Linked DNA regions of Neodiprion lecontei. The protein of the gene in region 1 binds, or shares a complex with, the protein of each later gene. Links are inferred from orthologs where the notes say so. Each region holds a gene or a part of one and is shown on either strand. Other genes may lie near its edges. The genes, in order: cysteine desulfurase, mitochondrial; adrenodoxin-like protein 1, mitochondrial.

What was found.
Region 2: the proteins of cysteine desulfurase, mitochondrial (region 1) and adrenodoxin-like protein 1, mitochondrial are in contact, whole or in part, in a cryo-EM structure (PDB 8RMC), measured with the Homo sapiens proteins. The link is inferred for Neodiprion lecontei from reciprocal best matches to the Homo sapiens genes NFS1 and FDX2. Residues at the interface, in NP_066923.3 of Homo sapiens: Gln153, Lys157, Leu160, Asp161, Arg164, Ala168, Tyr175, Ala384, Ser385, Leu386, Glu387, Pro388, Tyr390, Arg393, Gln456, His457; in NP_001384335.1 of Homo sapiens: Ala104, Cys105, Glu106, Ala110, Cys111, Pro141, Leu142, Ile169, Thr170, Arg171, Asn172, Phe173, Tyr174, Val175, Asp176, His178, Lys181.

Annotation. Positions count from the first base shown.
Region 1 is NC_060264.1:23,139,373-23,155,958, reverse strand, and holds cysteine desulfurase, mitochondrial, read right to left. Parts: upstream 7,979-16,586; 5' UTR 7,949-7,978; coding exon 7,843-7,948; intron 7,760-7,842; coding exon 7,680-7,759; intron 7,498-7,679; coding exon 7,381-7,497; intron 7,317-7,380; coding exon 7,179-7,316; intron 6,916-7,178; coding exon 6,710-6,915; intron 6,608-6,709; coding exon 6,486-6,607; intron 6,424-6,485; coding exon 6,266-6,423; intron 6,004-6,265; coding exon 5,732-6,003; intron 5,651-5,731; coding exon 5,561-5,650; intron 5,462-5,560; coding exon 5,398-5,461; 3' UTR 5,229-5,397; downstream 1-5,228. Other genes in the region: isocitrate dehydrogenase [NADP] cytoplasmic, read right to left, coding at 181-1,395, 2,042-2,242; ragulator complex protein LAMTOR4 homolog, read left to right, coding at 3,407-3,478, 3,556-3,804; GTP-binding protein YPT6, read left to right, coding at 4,205-4,384, 4,532-4,776, 4,864-5,062; uncharacterized protein LOC107224137, read left to right, coding at 9,399-9,514, 9,591-9,760, 9,840-10,088, 10,154-10,314, 10,407-10,496, 10,591-11,652.
Region 2 is NC_060264.1:26,453,527-26,468,547, reverse strand, and holds adrenodoxin-like protein 1, mitochondrial, read right to left. Parts: upstream 6,597-15,021; 5' UTR 6,510-6,596; coding exon 6,395-6,509; intron 6,311-6,394; coding exon 6,259-6,310; intron 6,143-6,258; coding exon 5,895-6,142; exon of another isoform or gene 5,815-5,894; intron 5,452-5,814; coding exon 5,348-5,451; 3' UTR 5,225-5,347; downstream 1-5,224. Other genes in the region: sprouty-related, EVH1 domain-containing protein 1, read left to right, coding at 498-559, 738-1,312, 1,636-1,792; methylosome subunit pICln, read left to right, coding at 7,458-7,576, 7,905-8,050, 8,188-8,364, 8,563-8,673, 8,774-8,862; regulator of nonsense transcripts 2, read right to left, coding at 9,626-13,126; protein arginine methyltransferase NDUFAF7, mitochondrial, read right to left, coding at 13,754-14,263, 14,523-14,642, 14,721-14,984. UniProt on the Homo sapiens protein: Electron donor, of the core iron-sulfur cluster (ISC) assembly complex, that acts to reduce the persulfide into sulfide during [2Fe-2S] clusters assembly on the scaffolding protein ISCU.

The DNA.
Region 1 (16,586 bases):
ATTAACGCATGTATTGTCTAAAAAAAAAAAAAAAAAAAACTATTTTCCTCATCCAATAAACACCCCTCGAAGGTTTAAACTGAAAAAATTGGCAATAGATTCTGGAATAAATGAAGCAGCAGCCCTTTCCTGGGCTCAAAGCTTCGACCTCCGGATATCTGGGAACATGTATGTTTGCAGTCACGCCTTGGCCAGTTCCTTCTTTAAATTGTCAGCGAGCTTGTCCATAAACTCGAACGTCTCAAGATAGTCTGACCTTTTGACATTGTTCATGCCCTTGATGCAGATTGCCAAATCTTTAGTCATACTTCCAGCCTCGATCGTATCAATGCAAACTTTCTCCAGAGTCTCTGCGAATTTCTTCAACTGGTTGTTGTTGTCCAGCTTAGCACGGTGTAGTAGGCCCCTTGTCCAAGCAAAGATCGAGGCAATCGGATTGGTCGATGTCTCTTTACCCAGTTGATATTGGCGGTAATGCCGAGTGACTGTTCCATGCGCAGCCTCAGCCTCGACCGTCTTGCCATCAGGGCAGAGAAGCACAGAGGTCATCAGGCCTAGAGAGCCATAACCTTGAGCAACGGAATCTGACTGAACGTCTCCGTCGTAGTTCTTGCAAGCCCAGACAAAGCCACCCTCGGATTTCATAGCGTAGGCAACCATGTCGTCAATGAGCCGATGCTCGTACCAGATATTCTTTGCTTCGAACTTGGAACGGTACTCAGCCTCGTAAATCTCCTGGAAAATGTCCTTAAATCTGCCATCATATTTTTTCAGGATGGTGTTCTTGGTCGAAAGATAGAGCGGGTAGGTCCGAGCCAAAGCATACTGGAAAGAGCTGTGGGCAAAGTCACGGATGCTCTCGTCGGTGTTGAACTGGGCCTGAGCGATGCCAGCCCCCTTGAACTGGTAGACAGTGTGCTGGATTTTGTCGCCTGACTCACCTGTCCAGGTGATTTCCAGTTTACCGGCACCTGGTACCACAAAGTCTGTGGCCTTGTACTGGTCAGCATGGGCGTGACGGCCGATAATAATGGGTTGATTCCAACCAGTCACCAGCCGCGGAATATTCTTGCAGATTATAGCTTCCCTGAAGACAGTGCCGCCCAGTATATTCCTGATAGTGCCGTTGGGGCTCTTCCACATCTGTTTCAACTTGAACTCCTTGACTCGATTTTCGTCCGGAGTTATCGTCGCACACTTTATGCCCACGTTATATTTCTTTACAGCCTCCGCGCAGTCCACCGTCACCTGGTCATTAGTTGCGTCCCGGTTCTCCATACCCAGATCATAAATGTGCAACTCAATATCCAGGAACGGGAGTATCAATTTGTTCTTGATAGAGTCCCAGATGATACGAGTCATCTCATCTCCAAGAATGTCAACGACGGGTCCAGCCTGTTGGAAAAATGCTGTTTCTTTAAGTATTTTCATAAGAAACTGCTGAACATCTTATTTACAACAATTTCATTGTACAATCTAATCATGAACGGAAATTCCGAGAAATAATCAAACTATCAATCAATTGATTATTACGGCTTATATCGCGTGAGATAATGATCGCTGTGATATCCACATTGTAGTAGGAACCTTATCATTCGAAACTTATTAGCTTTCACTCGACCTCGAGCTTGTTTTCTATTTAAGTGAAACCATCGACATTCCACGGCAAACGATGGGTCGACTAAATGTGGGGGGGAGGAGAGGGGATCGACCTCTGCACTGTGCACCATAATGTGCACTATCATCCAAGGTGGTTTGGAACGGGGTTCTAATCATGCAATAAATACGGAATACTTCGGAACACGAACGCTGCGAACAATAAAGTTCCCCGAAAGGTGAATCGCAAGTGTCTCGTGATTTGAAGTGCCTTCTCTCAGTCGCGGCATTAGTATAGAAACTGTTTAAAACGGATACGCGACGATCGCGACCGGCCGTATGAGACTCGAATGTTTTTTAAACTGCAGGAAGATGAATCGGCTAACAGGGCGACGCCTCGGGGGAGCGTGATGGATCAGGGTGAGATATGTACATTCATAGATACCTTGATCTTAGCCATAGCGATTGACGTGGAGCTGAAGTTTTTCGATGTCTGTGTCGTCCACGTAAGGTTTCGTCTGCGCGATGCGTCGAATGAGGAGTTTCGGTCGAGCAGAGCGACGGACGACGTACTGCAGCGAAGTAATCGAGCCGCACTGTCCACGGCGGCACTCGGTCCTAACAGGCGAGTCAAGGAACGGAACATGGCGCCTGTTATTGTTATTATTACCGGATTATACGACTAGGGGATAGGATGAGTACGTGTACGGAACGGGTTGCGTACCGCGTATCGAACGATCCTAGAGTTGCACCGTCACTGGTCCCGTCGACCGGGTTCCCGAGATGTGTTATCTCTCGCGGAAAGTTGTGTACCCCAGGGACCTTTGGACGCGCTCCCCGGGTCCGAAGAGTACAATAAACCAACGGTTTATTGTCATTGACGGGTCAATTGATGCCACCCCTACATAAAATTGATAGCGAATTCTAGACGTTAACAGTATTGCTGACACGCGCCATTCTTTTAACGGGAGTTGGTTACGCAATCGATTGCCGCCTAGAGCGGCCAGCCGTCGAGTCAATCGGCCGAAGCCCGAGAGGCAATGTAACAGCGGTGGCATCCGCCATAAAATATCGGACTAATAACAGCTGCCCTCCAGGCTATCTACATAATTACGGTTCGCAATATTTTTTCATTTTGCCCCGAAATATCCGAAATATGTACTGCACATGCATTAAAGGTACTGTGTGGTGTTATTTAAAAGGCGGGCTGAATTAGCAATTTCTGTGAGTGTCATGCGTGATAATAACGTCTTGTTAATGCCTCAGAATAAATGAGATATTTATTTTCAAAGTCAAAACAAGGATGAAACTACGACATTTGCTACACTGATATGTAATGATATTTATGTCTCATTTGTAAACCACTGACCTCTACTTGTATGCTAGAGATCAGTGATGTAAACTCAGTGGTTTACTACAGAAAATCATACCGCGAACTTCACAGAGTTCGGCCATTTTCAGCACTCATTAGCTAGAGGAGCTAGAGAGTAAATTTGAGACCAAACTACAGGAGAGTGGATTACAGCGCCACGGTGAACAAACGATAAATGATATCTCCAGATTTCCAAGTTTTGTCAGTTGGCTACATTGAAGTCTAAGCAGGCAGAAAACAAGAGCAGAAAAATACATCGCGCTGCATCGCGCTGGCTACCGCGTTGTATTTTAGACTATCGCCACACGTCAAACCACAGGTTTTGTGTGTTGACAGGTGACACTTCCTCGCAAGGACAATTTTGATACTCGGCTCCCCAGTGCTTACGTTAAATTTTACCATTCTGCAATATACAAACATCCGCTAGGTTATTTGAAGATGTTGTCGATGGAGAGAATACCTGAGCAAATCGGTTATTTGGTATTAAAAGAGGACGGGGCGGTACTCACGGTATGACAACGCGATACAAGTCGAGAGCTTCATCATTGTTTACTTTTGTTTTTTTTTTTTCACTGCTGTCATTTCAGTCGGGTGGAGAGCTGGAAAACGACGAGAGAATTGCAAACATTATCATGAGCCTGATCACTCTGACCGACACGATCGATCCCAAGGCGTTTGCGTCCGATGAAACATTCAACAAAATATCCATAACCTACGAAGATCACTGCTACGTCATATGCCTGTCAAACAAGAAGGTTCACATTGTTAAGAAGAAGATAACCGCGTTGACCTCATCTCAAGAACAGCAGCAGCAGCACCTGCCAGTGATTGCTTGATGAGTCAAATATTGCTTATCGAAATAATTACAAGGAACATATGTTAAGTTGAAATATAAAAATGAGACATGTAATAAAGCAAAGATCGCAAATGTGAACGGTAGCAAGTTTCCTAGCTTTTTTGCTAGTGGTTCTGTTCATTGCACCTAATCGACTAATTATAGATGTAGTTGGACACCGAGGGTGATTCTTCGGTTTTTAGGCAGTCTGCGCCATCTATGAGCTTAGCAAAACGTCTATGACTGAACAAAGATGCTGCAATCTGCGCGAATATTTTTTAATTATCACGAATATGCATATGTACGCATGCATAAATGTGTGTAGTTATAATCGGTAATAATACGCGTGGGAAATATAACCCGTTAAACAATGATCGGTAGTATTGTTTAGATGTAAACAAATGGCCACCATCAAGGTAACCGAACAAAAGGTGATTTTATGTGGCGAATACGGGGTCGGGAAAAGTTCGATATTTAGGCGATTCGCGAACAATACCTTCGTCTCAAACAATGATAGAAAATCGACCTTGGGACTGGACAATATCAACAAACAGTACACCATTGACGAAAAAACGATTCGCGTAAGTAGCACATTTGCCTGTTACGTTCAGTTATTTTCACGCGTGCAAGTGCAGCTTTAAATTTATTGTGTCGGACAAGTATATTCATTTACACCTGTCAATTTTGGCTAATTTTCTACAACGTCGAGGGTGGTCCTGACTTTCCAGCTGCAGTTATGGGACACAGGAGGAATGGAGAGGGTTGCCTCTATAACATCCAGTTACTACAAATTTGCAGAGGCGGCAATATTGGTCTTTTCGCTTGACAATCCGACCTCCTTTCACCTCCTCTCACAGCACCTTCTTGACATTGTAACTTACGCGGAAAACGCTAAGATATTCCTTTGCGGGAACAAGAGCGACTTGGAAAGCGTTGATCCTCAGGTCACAGATGTGGAAATGGAACAATTCTGGTAAGAGAAATAATCTATTCACATCGTAATTATATGTTGAGAATTAAAGCAATAAGTTCATTGACAGTCGTAACTTTTGTTTCCCAGTGAACAGTGTCACAATTTGATATCGGCGACGTACAAAACGTCGTGTAAAACGGGGCACGGGGTTGATGAAATGTTTGAAGATATTGCACGCCATTTGGTCGAGGCAAACAGATCGCGTATGGAACTGCACGATATGGACAAGGACCACTTCAAAATCACAAGTTCCGACGAAATCGACGAGCCATCCTGCTTGTGCTAATTTTGATTCAGCTTTTAATGCCCAGAACACGTTTCTCTAGTCAACTCAAGAGGAAACGGATTTCAATTTAAAAATGCATGATTTATGTCATGACAAACGCTGGCTGAGCATATATTAATATTATAATAATTTATTGACGGAGGATGAATGATGTGTGGCGATTTGATAAATTTTCAAAATAAAAATTTATTCATTTATCATAAACTCTTATACTACTATGCAGCGAATGCAATGTTGAAATCTGGAAACTTGAAATCTCACTAAGCTAGTCATAATTTACTATGTATCACTTAACAAATAATCCGTGTACAAAGCCCTTTTTGAGTAGGAACTGTTCAGTGCTGCGTCCATTTGATTGACTTGATATCGATACCCTCTTGTACCATTTCCCACAGTGGACTGGCAGGAGGAAGAGAAAACAGAATTATATCAATTTTACAAGCAAACAAAACTTTTGCTAGAGTTTCAATTTTGACATCGAGCGCATAAAACACATACCTCATCTCTCTGAGTCGAATAACGTGGCGTATGATGTTATGCGCTGTGTAATCGACTTCTTCACGAGTTGTGAAACGACCAATTCCAAACCTGAAATGCACAGTAATTTGCCATTGTCAGCATTTATATGTCAGATATCCTAGTTTGCAAAAATTGTACATTCACGCCTACCTTATACTGGAATGTGCCAGGTCTTCGGCAGCTCCAATGGCACGTAAGACGTAGCTTGGCTCTAGACTGGCGCTCGTGCAAGCTGAGCCGCTGCTCAACGCCACATCTTTCAAAGCCATCAGCAATGACTCTCCCTCGACAAAAGCAAAAGAGAGATTCACGCAGCCAGGATACCAGGCAACTTCATCACCGTTACGCACCACATTCGTTAAACTGCCCATTATTTTTTGTATCAAATGCTGGGAAAGATCTTCTATATACTTGTGGTCATACTGTAAACGTGGAGAAGAACACAAGTATTAATCCAGATAATTTTCAGTTCAAATTGAAGATGATACTTAACACCAGATACTATCAAACTGACGTAAAAATGTAATTTCTTTTGAAATCAGAGACTGATGAAATTCCTGGAAATTTTCTGAAATTTCCTTGTAAAGTAATAATCTCATGACATTTTCAGGTTTTCCCAATTTTCTGTAATGCTGGACACTTTACAGTGAAGCATATGGAAAGTTGAGAAAGTGTTGTACTAACAGCCATTTCCTTTTGTGCGAGCTCGCAAGCAGCCCCCAGCCCAACCACCAGAGGTGCTGGCACCGTTCCACTTCTCATGCCTCTTTCCTGACCCCCGCCACTTTGAAGGGCTTCGACACGAACCCTTGGCCTACGCCTGACGTAGAGTGCTCCTATGCCTGAAACATTAGTTGAGATGCATGGATATTTTGAAAAATTTCTCGATCTCTTTATGCACTACCTTTTGGCCCGTACAACTTATGACCACTGATCGACATGAGATCTATGTTCATCGCGTTCACGTTGATCGGAATTTTTCCTACAGCTTGCGCAGCATCTGTGTGAAAGAAAACTTTCTTCCTTCTGCAATATCAACAAATATGATAATCTGTTCACTGCTCAATACTTAACGCTTTTATCTTTGTCTTGTTCTGAAACTTAAAATATATTTTACAGTATAACAACCTGCATAGAGCTCCAATCTCTGCAATTGGCTGTTGGACACCAATTTCGTTGTTCACAGTCATTATCGAAACAAGTGATGTGTCAGGCCTCAGAGCAGCTTCAAGTTGGTCTATGTCGATTAATCCATTGGGTTTGACAGGGAGGTATGTGACATTGAATCCTTCAGCTTGCAAAGCTCTGCAGGAGTCCAAAACGCACTTGTGTTCCTATGTAAAAAGAACAAGTTGAGAGACCTCAATACTTCTCATCAAATGCCCGTGGCTTCATACTTCATTATGTTTTACAAATATTTCCATTCTGGTCTCCAATTAATTTTATTTCAAGCATACAATATATTTGAAACGGAATGTAATCACAAAATTAGAAACAAACTACGTAAGCCAACATCAATGATTATTTCACAGTGAAAACATTATCAAATGGAGCATCAAATAGTTTACATCGTATCCAATTTTCCTTTTCAACTCACAGTTTGTGTCGTTACAACGTGCTTTTTCTTTTCCTTGTAAAATCTAGCCACACCCTTGACAGATATATTATTGCACTCCGTGGCCCCAGACGTGAATATAATTTCCTTCGGATCAGCTCCTATCAGATCAGCAACTTGCTACAAGAGAAATTGAAAGAGGATAGAATATAAAGCACTTAGAGAAAACGAGATCCTTACTAACTTTCCGACCACGCTCAACAGCTGCCTCTGTTTCCCATCCATACATGTGAGTCCTGGAATGCGGATTGCCGTAGTATGTTGTCATGTACGGCATCATCTGGTCCAGCACACGTGGGTCCTGAAATGAGAATCGACGTATCAGTTGACACCCAGATGTACTAATACTGATTAAAACAAGTTAGCGAAGTTTAGCGATTGAAATTTTTCCAAACAAACCGTTATTAAAACAAAATACGTTTATACAATCACAAGTGTGAGATTAAGAATAATTTTAGTTCCGTTCGAGAGGTGGATAATTACCAATGGTGTAGTGGCCTGGGCATCCAGATACAAGGGCCGACCCTCCGCTGGACCCTTTTTGTACTCATCACTGATGGGAGCTGGAAAAAAACGATTTTTAACAAGTAGTTAGGCGCAATTGCATAATTTGTAGTAAAATCTTTCGTTTACTAGTTCAGCGTACATTCGAATTCTTTGACAGCCGCGTAGTGTCGCTTGGGCGACGAAATCACTTCGTTGACGTGGTGATCGCGCGCAAGAGGCACGAGTCGTTTCCACAAACGAAACATTCTTTCGTTTGATCGGCCTTCTTCAGTCGTGCGACATTTACTCAATCAGTTGGCCGGTCGCGCGCTCAAAAAAAGGAGGAATTTGGGTTAGGAATCTCGATGCGAAGGCAGAGGAAACTGTACGGATCTAATCAAGATCTTGAATCTCGAGAGTCGAGAGCTAGGCGTACGCAGGATCACCGATCAATTGGTGCCGCGACGAAAAGAGATTAGTTGGAATGAAGTGAAGTGAAGTGCGGTTAACCTGAAAGAGCGTCGGTAACCCTGATAGAACAGCTCCTGCTCGTAACTGCGGTTCTGTTTGCCTCTCACCAATCGGAAACTCGTCCCCTCGGCCTCGATCAGCCGTCAATGGCGCGAAAAACTCCGTGCAGGATGTTTGTTAAGATTGTCATTTGCTAATTGCACTTTACACGTACGAATTTGTGATAAAAATTTGATGCGACGCAGAGACGTTTAGAGTTAACAGGTACAGTGCGTTGTTTGGATAGATTCAACTATGCGCGCATGAGCTGTGCCAAAGTGACCAATATGCATCCAATATGTGAAATCATCTTTCAGTATTCTTCTTTTCCTCTGATGGTTACCGTTTTAGAGTAGTCATTGTTAAGAGTGCCCTGGTCGATTTTGATGTTGACTTATATATTTGCAAACATCGAAGTCCACGTATCTCAAACGCAAAAACGAGCTCAACATCCCGATTCTATACGCGATTCTGTACAAAAACACTTTTATACATTTGCATTTAACGCAGAAATAAAGAATTGGCATGGATTCTATGAAATCACTATAGTAAATAAAATTTGTAGAATTCATACCCTTTGAAATGACCGTTGACATAAAACGTTCATAAAAAAATTTTTAATCTGATCAACGCTGATTAGGGTCACCGTTTTTAAAACGTCAATAGTCTCCAGTCAACGACAGTCTTCAATGAGTCAACGAAATTACACAGCCTTTATAAATCAGTTAAAATAATTTACCAAGTAAAACTCTTGTTCGAAACATTCATTTACCTTCGTCTCATTTACGTGTTATGTTACTCTTCTGGATTTGTTTTGAAAATGCCGCGTCAATTTCTCATCTGTACTGCTCTGTGACAGCCGTGGTAGCAGACTGAACTAAAAGTACGCGTGCTTTTTGTTTGTGTCAACAGTACCGACCCTGTGCCGACGCCCGCGAGAGTGTAATCCTGATTTTCCTGAATTTTCCCCGCACTGTATTATCACAAATCTTAACGATTTCTTCAACAATGCTATTCGTAACTGTGTAAAATCACCCTTAGGTCGTACTGTATTGCGATTCTTGCCCAAAGTTGAACTTAAAATTAGGTTTGCTTATATTATTGTCGATACATAACCTAAAATTCGACTCATCCTCTCACAAATTTTAGCGATTTTAGCTACATGGTTCGTGGATCACTTCTTGTGTTCTCTTAGATTTCAGCCTCATGATGATGGATGCCGCGATTGAAACAGAGGAGGTGATAGAAAAACCACCGGTTAGCGTGCCAGTCGTCAGAGTTCCCGTCAAGCACACCAACCTCGGCATCAGAAGTCACGCAATGTAAGCTAATTATTGGTCAACCCGTAACTCATCACTTCCGTGCCAAATATCAGATATCACATGTTTCATTCTGCAGGGACATGAGCACAATGGTTGAACTGACGTCGTTCAGTTCCCTTGGGAAAATTCAGCCATTTCTTGTCACTCTCTCCACAACTGCAGCGCTCATCGTCGACCTGCATTGCCATCTCAAGGACAAGGAGGTGTGTGGTTATCTTGGGGGGCATTGGGACATTAATGCTCACAGTGAGGTTCAGTTCCTAACACATATTTGTAGACAACATTGAAAATTGCGGGTTTTTATTAAGGATCTTGATGCCCATAGATTTGACAATAAACTACGCGTTTCCATGCCGATGTAATGGGAAAGACAAAACTGCAGCTGCAGCAACTGAGGCTGAAATTGCACGAGCCATGGAATGGAAGCATCTCACGTTGGTAGGATGGTATCATTCCCATCCTAGGACGCACGCGTCGCCGTCGCTCCGCGATGTCGATTCTCAACTAGACTATCAGATAAAGATGAAAGGACTGAGTGACAATAGTTACACACCATGTGTCGGGCTTATCTGCTGTGAGTTTCGTTGTTTGCGTTTTGGTCATCCCAACAGTCTTAAATTTTTGGCTCACTTTTCGCAGCTCCGTATAACACAGATAATAACTGCTACGAGTCAAACTTCAACTTCTTTTGGTCGCTCCCTCCACCGGAAAATCGGCCTCACGAGTACCCGAGACCAATGCTGCTCAGCTACACCCTGTCCCAGGAACAATTCCTTTCTCAGGAAGCTATTGATGAAATTGTAAGATGTTCAGCACTGAATTTCAATGCCGTAGTTAGCGACTGTGCAGCAGTTCAGGTATCTACTATAATGGCTGGTTTTTAATTTTTCAGAAAAAATGTGTCGAGTATTACAAAAATGACGGCTGTGTCGACTTCAAAGGAATCTTTAACGGTTCTGTGACGTATTTGGAAAAATTGAAGGCAAGTATGCGACGCGTGCAAAAACTTTGTGTATTGAGAATTATGAAAAGTAAATCAGTGCTAGATAACATTTTTGTATCATTCTTTTTCGTAGAGCTCATTGGAGTCAAAACTACCGAGGAACCAGTCAAACGGATCGTACTGGGACGCCATCAGAGAAATCGTTGCACCTGGAATGGAGGATCCGCCAACGACAACGCAAGCATCGAGCATAGCGGGAAATTCGGATATATTTTCGAATGTCAAGTTCCCGTTGGTGCCTGACCCCATGGGCCGTTCTGGCATCAATCCTAACAATCTTTTCCTCACTCCCGTAAACTTTAAACTAGACTCTAGCGTCTCCATACTAAAGCCGTTCAACGTGCCGTCGACTTCGAAGGACAAAAACGACACCCTTGAAGCCACCAAAGGGCAGAAATTCGACTTACCGATGCCGGATATGAATCTCAATGCGAAGCACAAGTTGCCGGCTGAATTCACATCCGGTGAACTGACCGTTTCCGTAAAGAATTCCAAACCAGACTACGATTTCTCAACCGCGGACTTTTCCAAGGTTAGCAATCTCCTGTCGAGCGATTCCAGCTCCCACGGTGCCGGCAAGAACAGGATTCCTGAATTCCCACTCGCCGATATATCGCAGCTGAGCAAATTCTCGGACCTTTCGAAGCTGGCCAACTTTTCAACCAGTGATTTGGCCAAACTGTCGGGTTTCTCAATAAACGACATTGCCAAGACGTCCCCAGCCTACGCCTGCAACCTAGCCAACCTGTTCAACCCCCTCGGTGGCAAGGCCCAGGACGTGACAGTGATCGACGTTAACAAGACTACCGAATTTCCCATATCCGAATTCATCTCTTCCGACATCTCGTTTAAGCCCTCTGACGTCGTCAAGGGTCTTGTCGCAATGTCGACCGTCGATACAAAACTCACTGTCAGTGAATTGCCCGTCGGTGAACAGAAGAAGAACCCCGACTCCGGGGACTCGTCGAAGTCAACCAGAAACGATTACTCTATGGACGACGTTTCCATCGCGAATGTAAAGTCCGATTTTGGTACTATGCTGGACATGACGGTGCACGGCATGAAGCAGCAATCTGGCGGCAATGACTGCCCGGACTCTTTGAATTTGAGCATAGATCATCAGTCGGGAAAGTGATGGAAGGGTGAGGGGAGGGAGCGAGGATCGTAGATCGATCACGTCGAGGCTCGTTTCACGTTGTAAATCGGTACTGCTACTTACTTTAACGAATACGGTATAAGATATAGGTCTTATAGGTTTCACCATGACTAATTGAACTGAAACTCAAATCGTAGGCTGTAGTAATTTATTGGACCAGGCATACACAACAAAGCGATGTAATCTCTCAAATTTCCCCATTATTCTGGGTGGGAATATTATCATATGTACTCCCACGGTCACTGCATCTGTAGCTCCTGGGATGGGCAACCGAAGATACATAGCAATTTAGGTGAGAAATTCTGTGCGAAATTAAACGTGTAACTTCGTTGCCTATCTCGGGGACGACAGCTACCGTGACCGTGATTGTACCTAAGTAAACATAACACGATTGTTGCGGATGGGATGCTTCCGGCGATTTTAACGGACGTAGTTATTCTGAAACATTACTATTTAGAACCATGACTTTATTACCGTGAATAAAAACCATTTTTATATCTAAAACTATCTTTTCGATGGGTGTCATCTTTGCTTTTGATATTATAGATTTTTTGTTTTATGTACCCGTATTTCCTGCCGCCTTGTGATTCGCTACTCGCATCGCACTCCGTCGTGTCTGTTGCCTAATCTTAGGCACTTTTGCAAAGATCCTTGAAGGAATGAAAATGATCTACACTAGATCATATAATTTTGCAATCTAGATTTGGAATATTACTGAAAAGCGCTTTAATGTTTATACCTGATATATAATATAGTCTCCTTAATCAAAGAGACTATACATGTTCCAGACATTCTAGATATGATTGCAGTATTGCAGGTAACTTAGAATAATATGTTACTAATAGTTGACCCTTTCGGTACGCACGCATTCTACGTCACACCGTCCCCGCTGACCGAGCAGTCGTGGCAAGCGTACAGTCACCGCTCAGACAGAGCGAGCGTCGCACGTTGGGTGACTATAGTCACCGCTCAGGCCGAAAGGGTTAATTAGCTGGTGAAAAATGCAATTTTCAGGATCACCTTGCGAGTGGAGAATATACGTGAATTGGAATTGCAGAAACTCCCGCGGGATCGCAATTGCATCCCCCTGTCTGAAGATCCGTTACGAAAAGGCTGCAGCCATATGGTAGGAATGCGGTGCTCTCGCGGATCTATATATCGCAATCGGAGAGTGTAACTATAATATCTACATATTATATATATACATACACATGTGATACAAACTTTCCGAAGTATGTGACATTTGCTTTGCGACAGGGCCACGGCATCCCCGCTCCCTTCTCTTCCCTTCTCTCACTATCCATAAGTCGGTCTGCTCTTTCTGATATAACAGATCTTTCGAATGACGTCGCGTCCAATCGGATACCGAGCTCACCTTCGTGAAAGTATACGGTGGCCCTGCCGCCCGGGATCTATGGCCAGTCTCTGGCCAGTGGCCCCCAGCACACAAACCTTTAATCCTCGCGCGTTCTTCGTCCGCGATTTGCCTTCATACTGCTTTCACCGCGGTAATGCGATACGTATATGCGGAGAAAATACAATTCCATGCAATTTTAATTACCACCGCATCATTGTGCCCCTTCCCATTGTTCATGTATAGCTGATGAACCTGAGGAAGGGTGACAAAGTGTTATCAGTGCAAAACAAGAAGCTACCCAGTCAGATCCGGGATATCGGGATGTCCGACGTTCGAGTTTAACCACTCTGCTGGATCACTTGCAGATAACATCGCGGAGCGAAAGGTGCGTGCGAGAAATCATTTTCGTATTCCTCGATACGACTTAAGTCGAAAATCGTCTAAAGACTTCCGATGTAGAGAACTTCGCGACTCTGCAGATGAGGTTAATTAATGATAACATTTTTTTTAACCAAACGATGTCTTAGCAAGGAATTTTGAGCCGAAAAATATCGAATCTAAAAAGCCCAAACTGATATGTATAATGTTTCATAATTTATGTTTTCGAGAACACGTTATAGATCCGCAGATTTGCGGAGAATGTTAATATGTAGCTCACGTTACCTTGGGCTCACCGGATAGCGGTAGTTTTTAACGCTGACAGACGAATTGACTGTACAAATTTAAAATCTAAAGACATCTTGAGGCCTCGAAGTCTCAGCGGAAACAGTTTAGTTAAAATTAGGCTATTGGGCAACGAATTTTGGTCAACTTTTCACTTCGTCGCATGTTGTCTGGGTTGTTTACCTAATCAAGACAGCTGGAAATTCCACTCGACGGTTGTCTTCCCGCGTACGTCTAGGTATGGAATCATGCTCTGGTCTACTTTCTAACACACCAGGTGACTCCTTAAGGCAGCGAGCGGATCAAACAGCGGATGTAGCGTGCAGTGTTTGTTTGCCGTAGCTTATTATTATTTCTGCGCATAGGTATTAATACTTATTTATAACACACATTTGGTCAAACGGGAGCGGTTCGGTTCCGTTGTGACGCAGCTGCGGAATCCGTGTGATTCAGAAAATCACGATGAGGTTTATTGAGTGCGTGTAAAGAATTTCCAGTGATTTCATCCGCTGCAATGGACCGGAAACGACTCTCAGAAACTTACGCCAGTTGGCAGGTTACTACATCTCCCGATACCTATTTCTCGAAATCAGATGTACCGACCAATGATCATTGCGGGCATGTGTACATATCCATCACTCTTCTGCACCCCCGATTCAGTGCTCTTTCTCTATTTTACGATCTGCACCAGATAAATTCCGTGCAGGTTGAAATGATATTTATGATATACTTATCACATGTGTATTGAATTATTATTCGTATTTATAGCGGGCTGTGTAAGAAATGATCGATTGAAATCAAACTGTCCACCTTTCCTGATTCATAACCAGCTTGGACGCGCATAACTGTACAATTCCTATTCACCGGGGGACCAGGCGCGTGGGCGATGTATGTATGTAAGTACGTACGTGTCATACTGCGAGTGTGCCGGAGGTGAACGTGAAACGTGGGATTGTTTATTATTCACCTTGCAACTTTTCGTCGTTTTATTATTCAAGCACATATAACGCATGCTTTTTAAATCCTCACTCGTACAATACGGGCATTTCTGTACAATTTTTGAAAAATATACTGTAACATGCGAGGACATATGACTATAACTATAATTCGTGCTATCCGCCGCGCTCTGATTACGTAATAATAAACCGTTTGCAGCTACCAACGTCGTTCGATCACCTTCTTCACGCAATCGCCGACGATTTACTAGAAAGTCGGAGAAGACGTGCCAGGCTCAACCGGTGGGGAATGATTGATGACTATCCCGGCTTTTTCGATGCCGAAGAATTCCCAATGATTCAGTTACCGAAACAGATCTTCTGACTCCTGTTTTACTCCAACTAATTGTACGCGATCTAATTCACTAGTAAAGGGTCCAGGCGAAGCTGGCTGCCTACCAGTAGGCGGATGGTGGTTAATTTAGGGGTGAGAAGTGGCGTCGGTCGATCGGTCGTTGAATGACGGCATTATTCGATGCTAGTCTCTTATTCACTGCTTTACCTACAATTCATTCAAAAAAACCTTAGTAGATCGGTGGGCTTGAGAACTGCACGCATTCTCGAATGTATAGTATAACAAATAGCTACAGATACATGAGTGTGATAACTAATTCTCAGCCGTTTAGCAGCCGCAGAATCGATCCAGTGATCGAGTTTTGAGATGGTGAAAGTCAGTCTTTGTTATATCTACTGCAGAGCAAGTAGCCGTCGGGCGACCGCAAGCTCGAGCTAGGGTATAATACGTGCAGCCATCTACCCATTTCGCACGTATAGTCGTTGCGAGAAAAACGTGGCGGTTAAACAACGAGAGGGTCACTCGAAATTGTGCTGATCCTATCAAAATTGAATTGAATTGTAATGTGAAATGACCGGATTGCAGGGCGTTACGGTCGGCTCGTCCATTGCCAGCGCCTGAAGCAGAAAAAAGAAAACTGTCAACATGGCTAGTTTTATCAAACGACGCACACTTTGAAATTTCAATGTACTTAATTGTTTTTCTACACAATCAGCTTGTACCTACTCATTTAATTGACTCACGATGCCCGAACTGTCATAGCCTCCCATCATGACGTATCATATAGCTTTTATTTCCATGTCTCGGGTTACCGATTTCTTTTTATATACCTCCTTTGGCCTCCACCGCCTGGAGGTTCTTATAGCGTCCGGGTTATTTTCAAGTATATACAGCTCGTATAGGGAAAACCTGTAGCAGTAAAATACGAGGCGACAAAGGTGTTAAGCTGTACATAGATCCCACGTTAAACTTTCTGTTACCCCATCATACAAATTAGTCAAAAATATCATATCCTAAACATTTTGAGCGCTATTAATTCTTAGACAGTGAGAGGTAGTGGGGGGTATTTGAGGGAAAGTTTCTTCCGTCCTGCACATTATATACAGCACGGCTGATAATAGTTGGCGTTCTACTTATTTCTAGTGCTCGGTATAACACCGAGACGCTGTGGTTATACGTATTATACCTTCCCTTCGCCCGTTCGATGTGCGTGGACGTGATCGCCGATGGTATTATACATGATACTGCACTGTATACCTATATATGATGTACGAAAGTGGGAGTGTGGCCCAAGGCTGTAAGTTATAGATCGCTGAAATGCGGCAACGTAACTTTTCATATTATTCTTACATCGTCCTGTGCAATCGGTGCAGATAATATTGTTTCACTCTTTACTATACACGCATTTCATATAGGTATGTTACATAGGCACCTCCTTGCAACATTTTGCGCTGATATCTGCAACGTTGCGGAATACCTATTTTACTATTATTGCAGTCGCGCAGGTTTGGTCAGTTGAATTATTTTTCTCCGTAATTTCACTAATTCTACACGAACTCAAGCATTTCTCAAGTTTACCAAGCAAACCGCTGATCCATTACGA
Region 2 (15,021 bases), about 3.3 Mb from region 1:
TACAAACATTTCTTTTTTCTGTGATTAAGACAATTAGAAATTTATCAACCTTTAGAGGGCCGGTATTTTTCCCTTAAAACTCGATATTTTTTAGAGGTACGATTTATGTATATAAGTAGTTAACACGTTTTGGTGGAATTTCCGAGTTATCTGCTGAGTCCTGAAAGAGCCACGGTGTCTAAAGGTTAATTCTGCATGTGTCAATGAATTATGCACTTTCTTGAAAAGATACATTCAAGTTATCTTCATAAAAAGATACGTTCATGTAGTTACAAAGTATGCAATTTGTGCTAAATACTCAGACGTTCAATAAATATGGAATAGGAAAATATTGATAGAATATGCTTGTTCTTTTGCTGCACTCTTATCTCGGACTTTTAATGACCATGGTGAGTATATTTATCAAAACTATGTAATTTGTACATGATATCACTGTAGTTTGTTTCAAGTAGGTGAGATCATCATACAAGAAATTTACATGTGAATTATTGTTCTAGGCCTTGCGGAATCATCCTTGTATTGTGGTCAATCAGATGTTGGAGATGACGATGTTTTTATGGTAAGTTGGTAACATGAACAGAAACTTCAGTCTCCATTTCTTTACTGCTCAATTTACTGTACATTGATTTATTACCTCACCATCCGGTACCATACAATAGCGAATGCATGTCTCCCTTGAAAGTAATATTATTTTATTAGTTTCACAACAATGGTTGAATTACATTAAACGATTCCAGACATTAAACCTGCCTGTGGATCCGGTAGATCCACGCCCATCATCCGAAACACAGCGGGGTGCAGTTCGTAAGCTAAATCATCACCACCATCATTCCCAGTGCCCGGATTTTTCTTTGGACCCCCATAAAGCACCACCGATTCATTACATTGGCGGCCCTTCAGCAAAGCCGCTACCTCCGCCGCATCATCCCTTGGAATCAATGGACGTCAGTACAGACAATTACCCGTACGTACAACTGACAACCCTGAACCATGAGTACCAGTACCCAGTTATCGAGGACCATAAAGGTGGGAGGTTCGACAGACGCGGCTCTTCCAGCTCGCTCAAGAAGCCAGATGTAATAGTTTCACAGATGGCAAAAAGTTGCGGGAAACGTAATAGCAGTGTACGTCTACGGTGTAAACATTGCCAGGAGTTATATTCTGAGCAGCACAATCCGAGAGGTGCCTGTGAATACGCACCTGATCCAGTCAGACGGGGCATCGCCACCGTTTCATGTCTTTCGTGTGCTCAGTGCATGCTATATCACTGCATGAGCGACGCTGAGGGGGATTTTGCACAGAACCCGTGCAGGTAAGTGACGGTATCACTATAACTTGAAAACGTTCTTATATATTTAAAATTCAGAGTATACATATTTTAATGCCAATTTTAAAGTATAAAATTTTGCTATTATGGTGGTTGAATACTAATTTATTTATTTATTTTTTTTTATTCATTTATTTTTTTTTTAATTTCGAAAATTTTTGTTCCTCACATGATTACTGAATAACACGACTTTTTTTACAATGAAAAATATCAATTTTCGGTCTGGAAATCCTAAAATCTCCCAGAATCGCGCAATGAGAAGTAATGAATGAAAGTAATTTTAAATCGAACTGAAAATGGGCTCGCAGCTGCAGTACGGAGGAAGGCTGTGGTCGGCGATGGTTCGGACTGGCTCTGTTGTCAATGATTGTTCCTTGTTTGTGGTTTTACCCACCTCTTCGCGCCGTTCACTGGTGCGGAATGTCTTGCGGGTTGTGCGGAGGTCGCCATTATCCCATGGAATAACTGGAGGAGCCCTTTGATATCTCTGTCCCGTTCTCCGTCGAGTACGTCTCAAGACGCCTTGCAACAGTCGGTGGTGCTAATGTCGCTGTTGCAAATGTATACCATTGCCACGATCCTGGCATGGGTCGGCGTCAGAGATATCAGAGGGGTAGGCAGCTTCCGGTACACGCTCTTGTACACCAATGTCGCCTATAAGGTTAGCTTTTTAATAACATGCATTCCGCACACTCAAATATTAATGTGGTATTATGACTTTATGGTTCGTTATGTCTTATTAAATCTACAGGGTGCTCTATCGATTATAACAACGAGTGGACAGCGGAAGAAAGTGTGCATCATTGAAGCAGCAGCGGATACGACCGTTAATCAAATTTATTCCGTACTTATCGTCTTCGAAGAAAAAACATACCGCATCTAGCAAAGTAAACGTACGTAAAAGTGCTCCATTTCGCAAGCATTCTTTCCTGTCCGCATTTTAAAACTTGTATCGAATAATAACTATGACACAACGACAACAACCACGATGATAACGGTAATGATGATGAGAATAACGATGACTAATGATTATGGTCTTCAGAAATATAGGTCTCCAGCCAGTTCACAGACTCGTTCAATTTTGTCAAGATTCAGTTCTAAATGTTCATTTGATCTGTTTGGTATTCTGTTACAAATATATGCACACAATTTTTTCGGAGAAAGAAACACGCAATAGGGAAGTACGTGCATATGTATACTAATTTAAAATCACAGCGTGTACAAATTATCGAACTCTGTGTACGTATGATAAAATCGAATATACTCGTACCGTTGAATCTGTTTAAACTGCGATACAGAAGAGGTTTAAAGATGAATCACGTGTGTATATATATATATGTCTCTGTGCATTTTGCGAAAAAAAAATACTAAACGTACTAATATACGACATCGCACACCTTATCAAGATTGAAGTACCTACCGATTCTCAAGTGTGGTCGAACTGAAAAATCGCACTGCTATTAAACTTGTCGAGGGTGTTGTACTACTGAAACGAAATTTTTATGCCAAAATATGGGGACAAAAGGGTTGCAGTACGATACCGTTTGGCAGTATGCTGTTACGGCTAGGAATCCGTTTAAGCGTCCCAATAATTGTAATCCCGATGCAGGGGTACCAAATAATCGTATGCTATTTCCACCGATTTGCAGTTTTCGTAAAAAAGTGAAAAAGTTGCGCGACTGTGTGCATGGTCGTGAATATACCTATAAGTATGTATACCGTATAAATGGAGAAGCTTTTTCGGATGAATATTAGTGTATTCGATTTTGTATTGACTTTTTTACAGTTTTGTATATTCAAAAGGTATCGGTGTGTTCCTAAAGGCTCAGAGGAGCACATAGAATACCTTTTGCTATAGAATAGCGCGATTAGGTTTAATATTGCTTTATGATATATTTATATATACACATATACGACATATACACATGTGTGTATACATGATATGTTCGTATATATATGTGTATATTTATTTGATTAACTTATAATATATCTTATATCCAGTGAAGACATTTCACCCATTAGTTCTTATTATCTTTATTATTATTATTATTATTATTATTATTATTATTATTACTATTGTTGTTGGTCTACGACGGGGCAAGTTATTATATTGTCACCAAAGTTGTTTCTATCGTATATCATGTTCACCAAGTGTGCGACGGAAACGTTCAAAATAATATAAGGAGGTTGAACGTATTGCCTGCCAACTTTGCAACAGAGAATGTGAATATCGCACGAAAAGTTATTAGAATTGCAATGCTGCGCAGCGACGTTACAATTTAAATAATTGTCTTTAAAATTCTAAAATAAAGGGTTGAATCGTTGATCATTGTCGGCAGTGCTGACATGATCTGATGGAGAATGTAAATACGATGTAATTTTCTAATCGTTCGTTATCCAAATTTTTGTGATTCTGATACGAACGGCATGATGATAACACAATAAATTATTGATTGGTCGACTGGTTAGGCCGATCGCAACCTCCGTTGCAATTACAACTGGCAACGCATACGTTTTAATGGACATACTATTACATTTATAATATATGTATACCATACACACGAACACATATATGCGTGTGTTTGTATATATATATATGTATGTACATATATATACGACTGCTATTTAATGTTGAAAGATTTGTCTTTTTTTCTTTAAATTACAAACAAGTACAAAGCTATATTATCCCCAATGCATCCGTAATTGTGATGATTCTTACCAAATGAGGATACGCGTGTAATCATCTCTAAATGTGCGGCAGCAATTGTAGGAGAAAATGCGTTTGAGTGAATGATGCGTTTAATTCATAAGTTATTGTTCAATTGTTGGATGAGAAAGAGTGAGAATGAGAGGATGAGTGCAGAAGAGGAAGTTGACGAATGTCTTGCAAAAGTATTACAATGTGTCCATGATCGCGTTGATCATTCGTATCAGCATAAAAAGTATAAATAATATAAAAACAAATATTGTAGGTCATAAGATGATAATAACAATAATATTATAAACCCAAAATAAGTAAATGAGTACGATTATGTGCGTCGTGTATTTACACACGCTTGTACGCACACACACATAATTATACACACAGAACACAAATACGATTGGTTTGTTGGTGAAAATATGCGTACTAAATGTAAAAACATGTACGCCTATAAGTTCACCATGGAACATTGGGTAGCATGTTGGAAGAATCAGGAGATGTTATGAAGTTATGATAAATTAAATAAGAGTTTCTACAACTCTTACTTGTATCGTGACAAATATTCACCTTATGCATATGTATTTATATATGTATGTATGTAAAAAAAATACATATATACACGTACATACGTATATTGTATGTATATATATATATTTACACAACGAACTCGACTCAATGAGTTTGTCTGACACGTAAGGCAAAAAGAGGAAGAGAAAATATGTAATATTGAAAAATCAAATTACTTTAATTCATTAACTCATTATATCGTAAATGTTTAAATCTTGTATCATTGTAATTGGAGAGATATGTATTATAATCCGAGATAAAAAAAAAAAATAACTACTGTACCGAGAAACTGATTCAGACTTTAACATTATATTCCTGATTACCCAAGCTCGATATGTAAAAGGTAGTAATGCAGTCAATATCAACGATCGTAAACGGGAATAAAAAATTAAATTATTTTGGGTATCACAAACGATATTGTAAAAACAGCAAAAAAGACGTGAGTGAGCAATCAAAACGTAAAACTTGCAATGTCAAAAGGACAAAAAGTAGAACTGTGAAACTATGATGTGACTTTGTAAAAGTATGTTTCTTTTTTTTCCGTCAATGTGATGCTTTGTGCATCTGTAAAGTTTACTGTGCTCTGTAGAAACACTAAATCGTCGTCAGTATGAGAATGATTGCATCAATTATCAAAAAAGGTAAGGTTTTTATTATACATTATATGTACAATATATTATATATACAATACATTATGATGTGGCTACAAGCGGGATTCTGAACATGTAGGAGATTCAATTCTTCCCTTTTTTTTAATGGGGTGTTGGAGTGTGACCATCTACATAAAAATTTCTTGTAGCTTTTGGAAGTTCAAGTTCTAATCCATTTAATTCTTTAGTCAGAATTATTTGACATCCTGAAAGAATGAAAAAGTAGTAAAGTATCTATTTAGCTCATCTATTGGAAGAGTCTGACAGTGGCTACAAACAAATCCTAGAAATATCCTAGAATCAAAAATTAATCCAAGAAATGGGGTATATATAACATGGAAGTTAATTATTATATTAGGAACATTTCTTTTTTATCTCAGCAAACGTAACTCTTTTTAACTGAAACTTTGTACAGTGGTGAAAATCGGATGTAATCCAATATCAATTTCCAATATTCATGTTTAAGAAGGGAGTGAAGGAAGCCAACTGTTATTAAAAGTAACCAGGGCAATCCGGCATGACTTCCGCGAATTTCATTTTGATCGCAAGATTCTCTTTAAATAAAGTACCTCAATTTGAAGAGTGTTACTGTAAAGGAATTTTTCTGTCCACTCTGGATATCTTAATTTCGTTTACTGCCAAAGCCTACCCAATCTGGAATTTTCTTTCAGAAATGGAGCCAGGTCTAATAAATCTTCTTCCTTGTCTTCTGCTGTGGGTAATTTTTCCCGATGATCAGAATTTACGTAGACATGACAAGTCGTACAGGCCAAGGAAGCTTCACATGCACCTTCCATTTCAATTCCGTGCCTGTGCGCCAAGTACAATACATTGTCACCAACTTTTCCTCTGACTGGTATCCTTTCTCCATGTTTAGTAATGTACACCACGTTGACGCTGCGAAATAAGAGAGGCAGAATTTCTATCCGGCTTTTCAAAACCGTAAGAACAGGACTTGATCGAAAATTTAAGAAGTTGACTGTAAATCGGGCAACTTGAATGTAATAACCTACACTTGGTCCTCCGATGTAGGATCCTGATATTCGTATTCTCCGTGACCTAGTCCTTTAAAGGAGAAAATGGTATAGACACATTATGAAGTTCCGTTGAGAGGTTAGAATGGTCGTGAAATCGTGATCTGCGACTTACGCTCAGTTGTGTGCATGTCAAGCTGGGAAAACATTTTTGGACGATAATAGCTTGACGAAAACAATAATCTCTTTACTAAGAACCTCGACAAAAGGTTTGGCAAAGACATTGTCATTTCGGTCAGGTAGCTTTTGCAAGAGCAGACAGAATACTTAGCGGCGACTTGTCAATTCACACGAGGTTGCGACAGTGTGTGTATAATGTATGCATCATGTTACATACGTGTGCAGGAGTTTCAAGTTGTGTTTACAAAATGAATACGAGGTCTGGGTACCAGGGTGCAGCACCTACTCCGCTGAGCACGTCGAGTTCTCGTTTTGTGCCGTGATTGGTTGAGTGAGCGGGCTCAGCCAATCACGACGCAGACCGAGATATATACATAAGCTCCACGGGTATGCAGCGTAGCTGGAGGGTTGAGAAAACCCGGCGACGCAGTGTCAAAATCTCTATTGCGTTTTTGCGGGAGGGTAAAAAGTAGAGAGAAAGGCGGGACGGAGTCAAATCTTCTCCCTCGAGGGGTGCACCGGGTGTATGTACCAGGCCGAAAAACTGCAGTGAACGATCCGCGCTTCGAGCGCTTGCGATACTTTCCGTGATTCTTATTCTTCTCGATTAACGGCAAGAGATACTTGCGGAGGAAAGTACCGTACATACGTCAAGGGCAGGTAAAACGAGGTAAGATCGATCAGTTCGGTAATTATTACATTATTATCACGGACAGACTTGCATTCGTTGCGCGACGTGTTTGAATCTTGGACCGAGAAACGACAGGGTACCAAAGTACTGCATTCATTCGAGCGATACATATTTTCAAAAGAAAAATGTGGATTTAAGAGTTTTTGACTCAGAACCATTTTCCCGGCTGCCCACGACGAAAAGCAAATGCTCTTGATTCCGTAATTGCTGTTCAGTCATACAGCTACGAATATCAATCAAGTCGCCCAAAGTTGTAGGTTTCCCTTCGACTCCTGAACTCTAACCTATAATAATTAACTTCTTCTAATTTACAATAATGATAACGTAGAATAGGTTTAATTTGTGGTGTTATTTTGCAGATTGTAAAATGGTCGTGCTGATCAATTTTCTACTGCCGCAAGAAGGTGTTAGACACGAAGAGCCTGACACTACGTTGTACATAAATGACAGAGAAGTTGGAAAGGGTACACTGTATGTGACAGAAAGGTAATATGCCGTTTTTATCGTACTGTTGACCTAGATTGGCAGTGATCTACACTAAATTTTATTCGTGTAATAATTTTAAGATTATATTATATTTTGGTGTAATACTGATTATAGAATTAGTATAGTCAGCGTAGAATCTCTACAGTACAAACTTTGAATTAATTTTTTGCAAATTAAAGTAGATGACACGATAAAAATAAGAGTATCGGTAGTGAAGAACACAACTCTCCCTTTATTTGATGTTTCAAACTAGTGGCTCGCAAGAGCAACGGTTAGAACCCATATGCAACATGGATTGGCTGTGTTATAAGTAATCTTACTTTCTCAGCCTACTATCATGGGTTAGTGGGACGACTGGTCAAGGATTTTCATTGGAATATCCTAATATATCGCTGCATGCTATATCAAGGGACCAACAACTACATCCTCACCAATACCTTTATGTCATGGTAGATGCAAAATTAGACCCTGCAGGTAAATGAAAAACGAGGATACTTTTTTCCCTTATACATGTGCTATACTTGCGGTTGATGATTGAGGATTTTTTTGTATTTCTTAACTCAAATTTTGGACAAATATCTCTGTATGTCTGTGTCATGCTATATCAACAGATATGCAAGAATTGCTGCCTATAGATGCCCGATCTGAAGGCAACGATGAAGAGGACGACGACGATGAATCGGAAACTCCAATGACTGAAATGAGATTCGTTCCAGAAAATTCAAATAGCTTGGATGCCATGTTTCAAGCGATGAGCCAGTGCCAAGCACTCCACCCTGATCCTCAAGGTATCTAAATGGTCATGCCTCAAATTCATGACAATCCTTTTGACTTTACTTCAATTACTATTGTATTCTACCTTGGAGGTATAATGCACCTTTTTTTTTCACGCAAATTGACCAAATTTATTTATTTCTAACTCTGCTACAGAACCCTATAGATTTCAATTCCAAGTTATAAGTTACAGAAACAATTATAATGAATAGAAATGAACAAAAACTTCACAGCTGAAGAGGATATCTATGAGGATGCTGAGGACGATGTTTTCAAATGTTGGGAAGCTGAAACAGACGCTATGCCATACATATTGGCATCGGGTATGATTTCTCTCTGTTTTTGTTGAATGGTTAGATTGAATACAATTTGCTATCTAGATGCTGGCCCTGTAACCATTCAATTGGCATGGTAATTTTCCAGATGAAGCATATAATCAGAACGGTGCAGATACAGACGAAGCCATGGATATTGAAGCAGGCCAGTTTGAAGATGCTGAAGAAGACCCTTAGGTAGTTGGTGGTATTAAATTCTACTCTCTGCTGTCAACTAAAACGTGCGTCAATCGTCACTATATCTCTTTGTTCGTGCAGTTTATTTTCATGCGCGTTGTAGACATAATGCTATAAGCTTACCGAATCACAATACTCTGAAGTAAATTTCTGTCAGCTAAGACACAAAGCGCTCGAATTTATATTCATATTCATTTTGTACATGATAACTATTCCTATGGTAAAAAATATAGGTATATAAATATAGATATAATATTGCATTTGATTTTTGTCATTGCGCATTAACGCGATTAATGGGAATGAGATTTTAGACGGAGAAGTATACCTTGCGTAAAAATGACAATCTAAGATTATTGTAACTATCTATCGTGTGTCGGAAATGGTTGATGGAATATGTGATGTTAGGCATGCGAATTATTGTACGTAATTTTAACGTTGGAACGTTTATTTCTCAATTAACGGCGCATGCCGAGTTTACACGTATACCTATTGGTAATGGATGTGTAAAGCTGGGGTCGAAAGGTTTCAATCGAACGATCCCACTTGGAAACACATCCCCGTTTGAATTTGAGATCTGTAGAACAGCGTACATTATTTTGTATACTTAAACATTTGATGTACTCGCGTAACGTGTGTGTGTGTGTAACCACTTATGCATATAGCATAAAAATCATCACAGGTAGTATGGCTACCACAGGCATAAGAAACCGATATCAAGTGTTATCATTACAATATACCTTGCCGAGGTTACACTATTTTCTGCTCATCGAATTTTTTTGGGCCCAAAAATAAGATCAGCATCCGGCGCACCCTTTGGGTGATTGTACTTTTGTCGACGTTCTCTGTTCAGATTAACGGTAACAGGTCTAGTGCCTTGATTTATAGTCTCTTGATAATCCTCTTCCTCCTGTCTTTCGGTAATATTTAGTGTCAATCTCTTCACCCTCTCCTTTTCTTCTTTCTGTTCTTGTTCCCGATTCCTGAGATTCATAGCGAGTTCGGAAGACACAGGAACAGCAAGATTTTTATACTGCTGCTTATTACCTTTCCTAAGCATGAGTACAAAGTCCACAGTCGTATTGTCCGACGGTCCTTCACGTAATTGTTCATACGTCTTTTTTGTGCTCTTGACATGGAGTGGCACAGATATATCAACCTGTTGTGGCTTCACCGAGTCACGCATCCGGTCCTGGATATTGTCAGACACCATTTTGTCAAGGGCCGAAAGAAAATCGTCATCTTCTGGGCAGCCAACCCGCCTTGGCGCCATTGGTAGCGCAGCATCTAATTCTGAGGGGTCCATAACAACCCCCTCACTCACGCCTGCCGATAGACTGAACTCCCCTTGAGTATTTTCCTGTGTACCATGATTACCTTCTCTGTAACCATCTGTTGCCCAGTCATCTTCCGACTGTGCTTCAGAATACTCTTCACTTTCATCGAAGTGCAGTTCTTCGAGTATACCTTTGGCATCTCCACTTCCGTTACCTGAAGCTATTGGCGTAGGTGTCGTCACTTCCTCATCGACCTCTGGTATAGCTCCCATTGCTTCAGATTCATTATTGCTGTCGGATGCGCGTGGTTCACCTGAATACTGTTCGTCCTCCTTTACTTCAATTCTGGCGAGACTTGGGTACAAGGTGTTGCGCAATTCATCTACAGCACAACGGGCCTCTTTGAAACCTTGGAACAGCTGCATCTTTGGCCTAAGCATTGTCAGTGTGTCACGATACATATAATCGACGCTGACTGGAAATGGATTTTCGACGGTCCATACAGGATCGCTACGCTTGAACCAGTAGTAATGCTGGAAGAATATTAGGAAATAATCCAGTTTCTTCTTACTAGAACCACCACTAAAGTATTGACCACATGTTTCCAGGAGCGTGCAGACCAAACGGATTCTGAACAAATGCTCAGGCGGATCAAGGAGCGTAGGTACTGTATGATCTGTAGAAACGCCGAAAGTTATGAGCAGGTAGAGAGTGCGGAAGATGTCGCCGCTCTCGACTAGGCGATAATTGTATAATTCCCCGAGGTACTTGACCATTGCAATACGACGTTGGTTATACTTTGGCAAATTTACCTCCATGCACAGCCTTATGTCTTCCAGAACGCCATCTACAACGTAAGGGCCAACAGCCTCATAATGCGCCACCAAACCTGCTAGTAAACTACCAACGCACCTTATGTTCAGGTACTTTACATTATGGGCGGCTACAAGGCATTTAATAGCATACGTAGAAATATTGTCATCCTCCCAGTCCAGTTTTCTCATTAGTCTCAATACCTTGTCAGTATTTGCCTTGGACAGATCCTGGTAAAGTAGTTTTCTAATGAACTCGTGCATAGGTGGTCTTTCTTTTTTTGCAATACCGCCAGTGGACTCTGGTGGATTAACAAAGTAGTAAGCGTTCTCTATTATCGTTACGTAACGCGAATCCAAAGCAGTAACCGCCTTTTTTCGCATCATTTGTTCCAGGTAGATTTTTGTGCGTTGATGAGAGTCTGGGGAACAAAATAAGAATCTCCCGCACGTCTCTAATAGATTGCAAGCCATTTCAACATGGTGATGAGTGAAATCGTGCAATAGTACTTTAAGACAGTAAAGTGCCTCAATTTTTGAGTACAGTTTGAACTTAACAAGCTCACCGATGTAACGAACAACTTTTATTTTTGACTCAATGTTGATCTGGTCTTTCTTTCTAACGTGGTACTTAAAATCTTGCTTGAGCATTAGACAGAGGTCATTAGCGACGTCTGGCATAACTGGATAAAGGATGCCGGCAAGCCGTGAGTAGAAGGGCAGCAAATCTAGCCGAATTCTGGACACACCGAACAGGGCCTTAATGAGTTTCTTTCTATTGTGCTTCGTGTTTAAATTCATAAGGAAATCAACAGCTGCATTGTCAATCATTTCTCTATTAACACAATTGGGAAGGTGAGTCAGAAACGCGTCCAATAATATTTTGTTGCTGATATTCGTGACGTGTGTCTCTTCAACCTCTGCCTCTGGCTCTTCGGCAACTTTGTCTGTGTCCTCGAGTTCTTCCAGCGCCAATTCCTCGTCCAGAGCCTCTTCTGTTAGTTGATTTTCGTCAGGTTTAAGCACAGGTACTTCTTTTGAATAAGAACCAGGCAAAAATACGGTGAGGTCTGGGAATACTTCGTAAAATCTCTTAGTCTCCTCATCGCCCCACATATCTTCTGTTGTTGTGCCGCTATCCTCACCGTCACAGGTCATCTTGAAAGACTCTTCTGCTTCTGTTTTAACCTCCATGTCGACTGGCAGTTCAGGCATGCTTTCGTCTAATGTTTCTGAAAAGCTTTGCACGCCACTGAACAAACGCTCATAGGATACCTGCAGAGTTTCCAACTTTTCTTTCCTCTCTGAGCTCAATTCACCTCTGGTCTGCAGTATCTTTCGATTCTGTTTTTCGAATGCCTGAAGCTCTTTGTGTTCCTTGAGTAGATGTTTGCACAGAGAGTTGTAATAGTCCCGCAGTAGTGTTCGAACATTCTGCTGCTTGTCGGCAGACAGTAGTCTGCTTTTGGGCAAAGGCTCGCCTGGCCATAGCTCAGACAACTCTCTTATTTTTCTTGGTACCAGACCCGCATAGTCCTCACCACAGTGACGGCAAAAACTCAAAATTATCGTTACGTTGTTGTGGTCTTCTTTGTCCATATTAATGAGTACGGTGAGCACGCTGCCCAAAAGCGGAAGACCCTGCTTGTGCGTAAATATGCCAGCATTGACTAACTCAGCGTAAAATCTTAAATCTACCCTTAGCTTGCTAGGATTTGAAATCTTGTCACCGACTTTGAAACTCAATATCCTCTGCCAATTCTCAAAGAAATGAGCGCCAAATTCGGCATAATTCTGGTGCAGGTAACTGCAAACCTTCACAGCTGGCGCGACATCAGTCATTTTCAATTTAGCCTCTACAAGAGCTGTCGCCACTTCGCTTATATATTTCGTTAAATTCAAATTGCTCATATCTTTCAGGACGGTATCCAGCTGAGCCGTACAAAAGTTCTTGAGCTTTTTGACAAATGTAGTATTTTTCTTCAAGCTGGAATCCAGTTTGCTGAAATGCGAATCAGGCGGACGGGACACATTTAGGTTTGCTAATCGGATCTTTTCCTTTGTTGAGAAACGCTGTTCCGCCTCCCTGATATATTCCATCAGAAACTCCTTGTCCACCTCTGACACATCGGGTGATACTTTTTCCGCCTCTTGACTGTCATTTTGAATCTCTGACATCGCCACGGTCTCTTGTTGTCTTCCGGACAGAAGTGTTTTACGATGTTCTGTTTGTAACAAATCATTTATTGAATTTTAGTTAGAAGATAGAAAAGAGGTTAGGTTTGTTTGACAAGATTATAATCTATAAGGAATTGACACAGTTCAGCTACAAGCCTGTACCTCGTTTTAACGACACTAAACTCCTGGCCGATCTTCAATCCATGGACTTTACAGCACTTTACAGTAAAATAAAATTATACACAACTACCCACCACGTCGTTGTTGACTCTGTGTTCTTGATTTGTTTTTATCAATTCTATGGTTAGATACGACCACAGACTTTTAAATACGACCAGGATACGACGCGCCATAGCGCATTTGTGCAATGTGCTCCTTACGAAAAATAAAAGCTTCCGCCAGCGGCTCAACGATGGCGCTAAACGACAAAACTGCGCGCGTCAATTCAATCCTTGTAGACCAAAATATTCGAGATATTGTCGACGGAACATGAAATACAAGTTTTGCTCTCAGCGATGAAGTTTATTCTCATTTTCATGTACACGAAAAGAACGCTCCAAAGTACAAAATATTTACAGAAAATCTTGAGAGTAAACAATTTCTAACAATATATAATTTTCAACTATTCTACACCGGTGTGTGAATTGCTTGAAAACCTGCCACAGGCCACTTATTCAAATTATCTTTCAACACTGAGGGGAACAGAGACAAGAACTTGAAACAGTTTCCCATTTTGTCTTCGTCTGTAATCATACTGTATCCCGAAATTAATGCTTTTCTGGTACTGTCGTCGGATGCTTTCTTCAACAGCATAATCAGCCTGGTGTCGATACCAAGCTGTTTTAAAAAATGTCTCTGGGTGACGGGGCCAAATGATATCAGACGATTATTTTGACATGCTATTCTCCTCAGCAGTGAGAAGTCAACGTCTGCAGTCAAGTCAGCTGTTCCTGGATTCGTGAGTGGATCCTGCTGCTTGTGATTACGGAAAGCTCGAAACGTGTCTGTTCGATCTCCGTTATGACCGTAGTCAGCAATAAGCGCGAATCCTCCGTTTCCTATGAGAAAATTTGCAATATAATCTATAATTACGGCGGTTTGCGGGCTTGTTTCGATGTGATCCCTGCGTTCGTGTTCCTAAAAAAAATTGATGCATATAAATTAGTGACATAAATCATGTAATTTTACATGTATGGGTCATATGTGCTAGAATTCTCAACAACGGTTATATTTAAAATTGCGTATCTCATTTAGATATTTCAAATTTGTAATAACTGTTTCACACATACTTATTCGGACAGCAAACAACAGACTCTAAACCTTATTCATCATCAAATGTAACTTATCTTCATTTGTTTTAGAAAGTTAGATATTTCCTACGCTCACTAATGCTTACAGAGATGTAAAACTTGGTATTCGGAGTAGCTGACCTAGACAAGACGTAGCGAAATTTTTCAGTCTCTTTCGACTCTGAATGGATGTCGATTAAAATTTCTCTCCATCCCTCGTTTGTTTTCTAAAAAAGGAAGAAGCAATGTTTTAAATTGGCAGCTAAGAAGCTGGAAATTCCATCTTCACGCTCAGATTAGTTCACCTGAAACTTATGTATGGGCATAGCGTCGAAAAATTCCTGTGCAATTATGATGCTGAAACCAGAAGGAACATCGTGGATGGTTCGATACCAGAACACTGTGACACCATCCTCTGTTGTGCCATGTTTGTAATAAGATTGACATTTGTCATTGTCAATTTCTTCATATGTTTTGCATAAATTCTTTGCTTGCAGGTCAGACAGTGTTGGGCTGACCTCTACCAAATGTAATGAAACTCTGGAGGATAATCCCAGTTTGTGGTAAACCTGAACGACAGAGACACCTATCTATCAGCAATACTAC